Linked DNA regions of Oryzias latipes. The protein of the gene in region 1 purifies or fractionates together with the protein of each later gene. This does not show direct contact. Links are inferred from orthologs where the notes say so. Each region holds a gene or a part of one and is shown on either strand. Other genes may lie near its edges.

What was found. Proteins that work in one complex are often made in the same cells at the same time.
Region 2: the proteins of anapc2 (region 1) and anapc11 purify together in Homo sapiens (affinity purification with western blotting; 7 studies listed by BioGRID and IntAct, with this or other methods). This does not show direct contact. The link is inferred for Oryzias latipes from reciprocal best matches to the Homo sapiens genes ANAPC2 and ANAPC11.

What each region holds. Positions count from the first base shown.
Region 1 is NC_019866.2:2,378,331-2,382,203, forward strand, and holds the end of anapc2 (anaphase-promoting complex subunit 2), read right to left. Parts: intron 3,851-3,873; coding exon 3,775-3,850; intron 3,704-3,774; coding exon 3,500-3,703; intron 3,283-3,499; coding exon 3,150-3,282; intron 1,241-3,149; coding exon 999-1,240; intron 920-998; coding exon 710-919; 3' UTR 502-709; downstream 1-501. UniProt on the Homo sapiens protein: Together with the RING-H2 protein ANAPC11, constitutes the catalytic component of the anaphase promoting complex/cyclosome (APC/C), a cell cycle-regulated E3 ubiquitin ligase that controls progression through mitosis and the G1 phase of the cell cycle.
Region 2 is NC_019859.2:4,486,076-4,490,207, forward strand, and holds the start of anapc11 (anaphase-promoting complex subunit 11), read left to right. Parts: upstream 1-1,332; 5' UTR 1,333-1,597; coding exon 1,598-1,706; intron 1,707-3,970; coding exon 3,971-4,116; 3' UTR 4,117-4,132. UniProt on the Homo sapiens protein: Together with the cullin protein ANAPC2, constitutes the catalytic component of the anaphase promoting complex/cyclosome (APC/C), a cell cycle-regulated E3 ubiquitin ligase that controls progression through mitosis and the G1 phase of the cell cycle.

The DNA of each region.
Region 1 (3,873 bases):
TGGTGAATCACCCAACAGGAACTGTGAGCTTCAGCAGCCGGCAGCGTTCTGCTCCCGTTCATGTTTCGTTTCAGAAAAATGTCATGAATGCGACGCAACAGCCCAGCAGTGAAGACGGCAGGTCCTCATGTGAATGAATCACAACAGGAAGCAGCTGACGGAGCGTCACAAACGATCTGGAACATTCCTCCTGATAATCTGTGGCGCGTTCACTGCAATCTGTAATTGTCCTGCTGTCGAACAAACACCAGCCCGTCCCGCTAACTCTCCCCTAGAACCCGATCTGCTAATCCAGAGTGAGTGTAAACGCTGAAAGGGAACCGCTTGAGTCCAGAACTTCAGTCTTCAGCTTCTAAACGTCTGGCTTTGATTTGCAATAGAAAAAAAGCAATAAACTGTTTTTGTGAATTTGAAGACGATCTTCTAAGAAAATGTTCTTTAACAGGTTTATTATAAAGTGCCATTACCCAAAATGCACTGTAATATAATGGGATTACTTTTGTGGAGGGGGAGTTTATTTCTTCAATGTGAACTAAATAAATGCGAAAATATTCAGAACCACATTTTTCACAGAAAGTCCATCACATTTAACCCAGAATGAAAAGTTCAAAGTAATAATTTAAAGAGCTTTTATGATGACCCAAAGGAGGTTTCAGCCTGCAGCACGTTGGCATTTTCCCGCTGCTCTTGAACGCAGCACGGTCCTGCTTCAGGTGGGCTTGGGGAGTCTGTACACCCCCGCAGACATCAGAAGCTGCTGCTCCCTGACCTTCTTCTGCAGGAAGGCCTCCAGCTCACTGATGTCCATCTCCGTGACGACGGGCCCCGTGGCCACGAAGATCCGCAGCATGGAGTGGATGCGGTCCAGCGTCATGCTGTCCAGGTTGGTGAGCATGGCCTGGATGTAAGCCCAGAAGAGCTGCAGAGACGACGGGGGTGGGGGGGTCATTTGAAATATTTGACAACATCTAGAAAACACGGAAAAGACGAACGCTCACCTGCAGCTTCTCCTCCCTCTGCTCGGACTGGGTGGTGGTGTTGGAGTCCCTCTCCTCGTCACTGTCGATGAGCATCCCCCCCCTCTCCAGCTTCTCCATGGAGGAGCCCATCTCCACCACATAGTAGCGCCCCCCCGCCTCCTCCCTCAGGACGCCCTGCTGCTGCCACAGGGCCAGCTTCCTGTGGACCAGCTCCTTGGGGGCCCCCAGCTTTCCGCTCAGCTCCTCCAGCGTCCAGGAGCCTGAAACCCAAAGTGGCGTCTGCAGTGACGGAGAACGGAGGAACCTGGAGACGTTCTGGCAGCATCTGATCATTTAAAGGCCCGAGAATCGGAACCGTGGCCGAAACTGAAGCTAAAATCTTCTGTCACCTGAAGATCCTGAACATTGAAGCTGCAGGACAATTAAGGAACTGCAACATTTAATTATCTAAACCAGGGGTGTCAAACTCACTTTGGTTCGGGGGCCACATTCAACCCGTCTGATCTCAAGTGGGCCGGACCAGAAGCGTAAAGGCAAAACAACAGCTTTATTCTATTTTTTTACCCAATTGGAAAACAGGCCTCAACCAACATGGTAGCCTTATTTCTTATTACACATTCATTCACAGAGGCCAATGGATCTTAAATAAAATTAATTTCACTTTAAAATATTGGTTTATTTAATTTTATACAGACTGAATATTTTAAATCTGACACTGAAGCAATCCTGATAAATTCAAGAGGGGCTACAGACAAAAATGAAACATGTTTCTAAAATGTAAATGTCCAAACGATGACAAAATTACACTGAATTAAACTTGCAAACATAAGAGTTTGGAGTTAACCTCCTTTCTCTCCTGAAACTTCACCCGTCCATAGATATCAGGATTCAAATGCTGTGCAGAAACACATTTACTGTCATTCAAGTGTGCAAAACACAATGAAATGTCCATTATTATTCATTATTATAAGAATCTATTCCTGGTTTCTGCCTGAATTTTGTGGCAACACCTGCCTTCTTCCTGACCTTTAATGGGGCGCCATTAGTGACCAAAATTACTTCATGTGACCAGTTCACTTCAACATCGTCCAGCACAGTAACTAGAGAGCTGACTATGTCATCAGCTGTTGTGTCCATCAACTCCAGAAACTCCACTGTGACGTCACTTCATCACCTCTAATAAATATCACAGCTGTACATATCTGTGATGTTGGTGCTTTCATCAATAGTGACTGAAAATACAATAAATGACTGGATTCCTTCATATGGCTGCCCATGTTTTCTCAGAGATGTTGGATCTGATCGTAATTCTTGACAGACTCATGTTTAAGGTCGACTGCTTTTTGGGCCGCAAGACTTCTACTATGCCTTCAGCATTTCTCAATAAGTTCATCATCAGAAAAAGGTTTGGATGTTTGCTCCAACTTGTTTGCAATAAGGTAGCTAGCTTTCCCTGCTCCATCACTGACGTCACGCCTGTAGTAAATCCAGATGGTTATTTATCGGTCCAGCTAATAGTTGCTAAATATTTTTTTTTCTTAACTGCAAATGGTGAAACTTTTCTTTGTGGAGAGTCTCATAGTGGAGCTGAATGTTATATTCTTGGAGAACAGCTGTTAGGTTTCGTTTTTGGCACATGCAGAGTTATGTTGTTTCACCCGTTAAGCTTTTCCTTTGCTCCCCCTAGTGGCGGAATTGCGCATTTCGGTTATTTCTTTAAAAAAATCATAACTTGCCAGAGGAATGGAGTAGAAACTTGCTTTCTTTTTTAAACATCCTTATGATTTTTACTCATTTGTGGGCCGGACCAAACCACCTGGCCGTATGTTTGACACCCCTGATCTAAACCGAATAAAAAAAAATGTGTCATTACAGACCAAATAAATGATCAGTTTCTGGAGCAACTGAAGCAAAACATAAATTTGAAGCTGCGTAATCCAAAGGAAACGAGGGCAGAAACCAAACATTTTCTGCAAGTTCAGAGAATTCTAGAGCAAAAATTTAAGAGTAAAACATCTGAAGAAAAGCTGCTTCATCTGAAGATGACTCTTTATGTGAGGATGCAGGAGGGGGGTGGGGTGTGCTCATCTCAGCATAAAGCTTAAACTGAGCAGAAAACCTGAAGTGGTGTGGACTGTGGAGGCTGTACACTGAACCAAAGGAACCCACTTTTGTCCTGGAAGTGAAGGATGATGGCGGCCTGGATGGGCGACACGGTGAGGTTGGTCAGGATTCGGTCCTCCAGCTCCACGTCCAGAATGACGGATCCCAGGTGAGGCTTCCAGCTCAGGGTCCTCATGGCCTGAAGAGCAGGAGGAAATGAGGATCCAAACAGAACCCCGTTCAGGACAGACAAACTGGGTTTGAACTTTAAACGCTGCGGTCGCATCAAAGCTGTGGCTTCAAGACGAGCAGAAAATGAACTTTGAGAACAATCAGATTAAATATTAGTTCATAAAGAGGATCCACAGCTGTCTGTCTGTAGAATCCTCCAGAAAAAACAAACAGCTGGACTCCACCTTCAGTTTCTCGTATCTGTGGGTGTAGGCCTCCATGGCCCGGCACACGACGGGGGGCAGCTCCAGCTTCTCCTCCTTCAGCGTCGGCCAGAACTCAGAGGACAGGATGATGGCGGACAGAGGCAGCGGCGGCTGCTCGTCTTCGCTCAGCCGCGACTCCTCCTCCCGGATGTTGCCGTTGATCCTGCGGGAGTCCGCCATGTCCTGCAGAGGAGCGCCGCATCAAACTGCAGCTCCTGGCGGAGGAGAGTCCAGCTGCCGAGTGTGGGGGTTACCTTCAGCATGACCTCGCAGTAGTGCATGTGAGACTCTCCGAAGCGAAGCTTCAGCAGCTCCACGTTCCGGATCTCCCTGGAACAGAGCAGAGTCCAAAA
Region 2 (4,132 bases), on another chromosome or scaffold:
ACAGACTTCAATCTAATAGTTTTCTACATATGTTTAGGTTTTGTTTGTTTGTTTTGCAAATCCTTATTCCACAAGGTGTGTAAGACTGAAATCCAGGGATGGTCAATGGTTATTTATATTACATATAAATGACTCCTTAAAATAATTATAGAAAAAAAATCAAATAAAATAATTATAGAATAACAAAACCTCGAAAATTTAAATAATTCCAAATATTTAAATTTATTATTTTTATTATTGTCACAAATTACATTTGGGGGGGGGGGGGGGGTTCTATTTGTACCATGTCTAATTCATGTCTAAGCCCTCACATTTTGAAGAATGAGCTGTTTTTGCTTTTAAATGATACTCAATGCAAGTCTTCTGGTTTTTATGGTGTTGACATTTGGAACTTGATTCCGTAATAAATGTAATAATAATAAGAATAATAATTCTTATTATATTTATTATTATTAAAATAATAATTGTCAACACGGCCAAAAAGTTCTGGTTCTTTCCTAAATTGCAAATTCTCCTGGTGTTTTGTGGGTTTTTAATGAACTCTGGCTTCCTCAAATAGTCCATAAACAAGCCTCATGGACTAATTGGTGACTCTGAATTTAACTGGCAGACTATAATCTTTGCCTTTGTTCTGAAGAAGCTGGGAAAGACTTCAGAAACACCAGTGATTCTGCACATGTATACATTTTGATTTCTTAATTTCAATTTTTTCAAAATATTTGTTGTTTAAAAGCAAGGAGTGTGCGTATCTGTTTAAACGTTTATTTGCCACCTTGATGTTTCACTGTCAGTCTCGTCAGAATTGAATTGAAGCCATCATAGTTATTTTATGTGACTGTGTCTGGGTTGTGAAGCTGTGTTGTTAGATCTTATGTGTCTTTTCTATCTTATAGTTACTACAAATCGCTTTTCCCTTAAAAGTTAAAGTTATTTAGCGTTTATTAACAAAAGAGAATCAGACACATTTAAACAAATGGCTCAAAGGAACACAGCAAAAAATAATAATAAAAAATAAATAAATAATAGGAAAAACTAAATTACAAAGCATTACCATTTAAAACACAAACTAAAAAGGAGGGGAGCACAAAGGGCATCACCAATTATTCATATTGTATTTTCAAATAGGGTCCACGTTTTTAATGCATTTAAATTCTCATTTAAATTATCTAAATTTTAAATAGATTCGTTTTTCCCCCCATTGTTTATCCTATTTTATTTTATTTTTGCAAGAATTAGAAGAAGTGATCAGTTTCTTACCATTTGTCACCGATAGAGGGCGACATTTAAAATCCAACGCAGTTATAAACCAAATGTGATGACACCGGAAGAAGAAAGTTGCACCGCTGTTTGAAAGAACGGCAGCATATTTTTGCGTTGTTTTACACTGTTTTACATGGCTTAGTTCTAACGAACAGTACCTTTTAAAATATTGTCAAACACTTAAATTACACCCCAACTGTTGTTCCTTCGTTAAGCGAGCAGTGTTAAACAGAGCAGGTCGCTTCAGGCTCCGCCGGGTCGACATAGGCTAGCCTAGCTTGCGTGTCCCGTTTGCCGCTGAGCTCCGTGGGTTTCCCTGATCCGTCTCTCGCTGAGGATGAAGGTGAAGATCAAGCAGTGGAACGGAGTTGCGTCCTGGTTGTGGGTGGCCAACGATGAAAACTGCGGCATCTGCAGGATGCCCTTCAACGGCTGCTGTCCAGACTGTGAGTTAACGCGCCCGCGTGCAGATGTTTAATTCCTGTGAAGAAAGAAGTAGAAATCCCACCATCGGTTTAAAGAAATCTTTGTGATGTTTATGTTTCCTCGTAGCATAAAGGCAATTGAGCCGTAATGGCGTTTAAAACCGTATTTGATAGAAAACCTTGTAATTTCACATTTACTCTGTCTGTATTACCTAACAAACTACTTACGACTTAACAATTTTTTTTATATAACTTTATTGAACAAATGCAAGTATACAACATAAAGAACAATCAATGCAGTATACAACATACAATCAATATACAACACAAACAATGTTAAACAGCCAGGGGAGTCGATTCATTAAATATTTGCAGAGAGTTACAAATTTCAATAGTTCTGAGAGCTTTTTTGTTGGAGGAAAAGGATATTGATTTTATGTAAAAAGTTACATCTTTAATGAATTGTGGGAAGTATGGTGTTTTATTAGTAAATTTACATTTATGTATGTAGAATTTTGCCAGAAGAATTAATAAATTAATTATAAAAAATATCTTTTGTTTTTTGGGGGTCCTGAAAAAACAAAGTAATACATTTTCCCATTTCAAGGAGAAATCTTTGAAGACATGAATAATGATGAATCTACTGAACTCCTTCCAAAATCTCCGTGTGGACAAACAGTGCCAGAAAAGATGAATTACTGTTTCTGGGTGATCTCCACAGAAACTACAATCAGTATTAATATCTTTTTTAAATTTTATCATATAATGTTTGGCAGGGTAAATTTTATGGAGAATTTTAAAGGATACTTCTTTTACCTTATTTATTATTAAATACTTATGAGGGATCGTCCAGACTGCTTTCCAGTTGATATCTGGAACAAATTGATTCCAATAATTTAAAATATACGGGGGAGCGGTATAAATCTTTTGAAATAATCTGCGTATTTTTATATTAGTAGTACGCCCATATGAGAAGCATATTTTTCCTACCGGTGACTCATCCGCATTGGATATTGTATTTTGATTAGGTATCAAATTATCAGTGTTCTTAAATAACATTACTATTCCTGAGGGGATAGCCTTCTGCACCATTGAAAACTCTTGTAAAGTAATAGGTAAATTATACTGTGATAGGAATTCGTTATAGTTTAACAGCTGCCCCTCCTTATTAAATATTACGACTTAACTAATATTTGAGAATCAGAGATGTGACTACGCATGCGCGAACATTCTACTTAGTCTTGTGTTTGCCATTGTCACAAGTACAATGCAATGTAGCCGTTATGATACATAATTAAAGGGAAAATAACAGGACCACCTGCAGAAATGCTGTTTTCCTCTAGGTGGGTCGGTTAATAAATGAAGTTGATTAGTTAATTAAATTGCCTCTTCGCTACAGATGGGATGTATTTCATCCCAATCAAAGATGGATGGATGGATGTAATTAAAGTCCTGATTTTAACTAGATGACTGTGATTTGCTATTTTTGTGAATTATTGTCTCATCAATAAGAACTGGATTATGGCAACAATGCAAAAGAAATATATAAAAAGAAACAATTCATTAGGGGGGGGGATTGTATAAAATAAATGAGCTCACCTTTAGGCAGCAAATCAAATTGTGCATGACTTTAAATTATCATTATACTAAATGAATCAAATGTGATTTGTGTGTATTGTATGCATTACTGCGAAAAAGTCTCTTTGATTATGAATAATTAGACTAAAGCAGCCAGCATTGTCTTGTCATCACTGTTCATTTTATTCTTTATTTTCTAATCAATGTATTACTATATCTGAAATGGGTTTGATATATACATGTGTGTTGGTAGTTGTTTTTATTGTATTCAATCATTTAATCAATCAAATGTTCTCGTTTCATCCTGTTTAGGGACAGCAGATGTGAAATAGCATCATGGCTAAAATTGGACATAATTACATCTTTTAGTCTCTGGACATATGTTCAGTAATGTGTCCATATAAAATAAATACAATAAGATAAAATATATTTATCTTATTGTATTTATCTGCAGTAAATATCTGCAGACTTAAGAAAATCAGCTGTAAACATTCATTTATCAAAAGAGATTCCCATAAACAGATTCATGACACGTTTATTGTTGAGGATGAAGTCAGTCGGTCATGATGTGGAGATCAACACCATCACTTACAGGAGTTCGGATTCTTATTTATAAATTGGTGATGTAACATGCCCCATATAACTTTGACTTCGTGTCCATCAGCACACCCCAGCTCGAGTTAAGCCATGCTTCTCCTCATCTGCAGGTAAGGTTCCCGGAGACGACTGCCCGCTGGTGTGGGGTCAGTGCTCCCACTGCTTCCACATGCACTGCATCCTGAAGTGGCTGAACTCCCAGCAGGTGCAGCAGCAGTGTCCCATGTGTCGCCAGGAGTGGAAGTTCAAAGAGTGACGTGTCACGGTTCAGA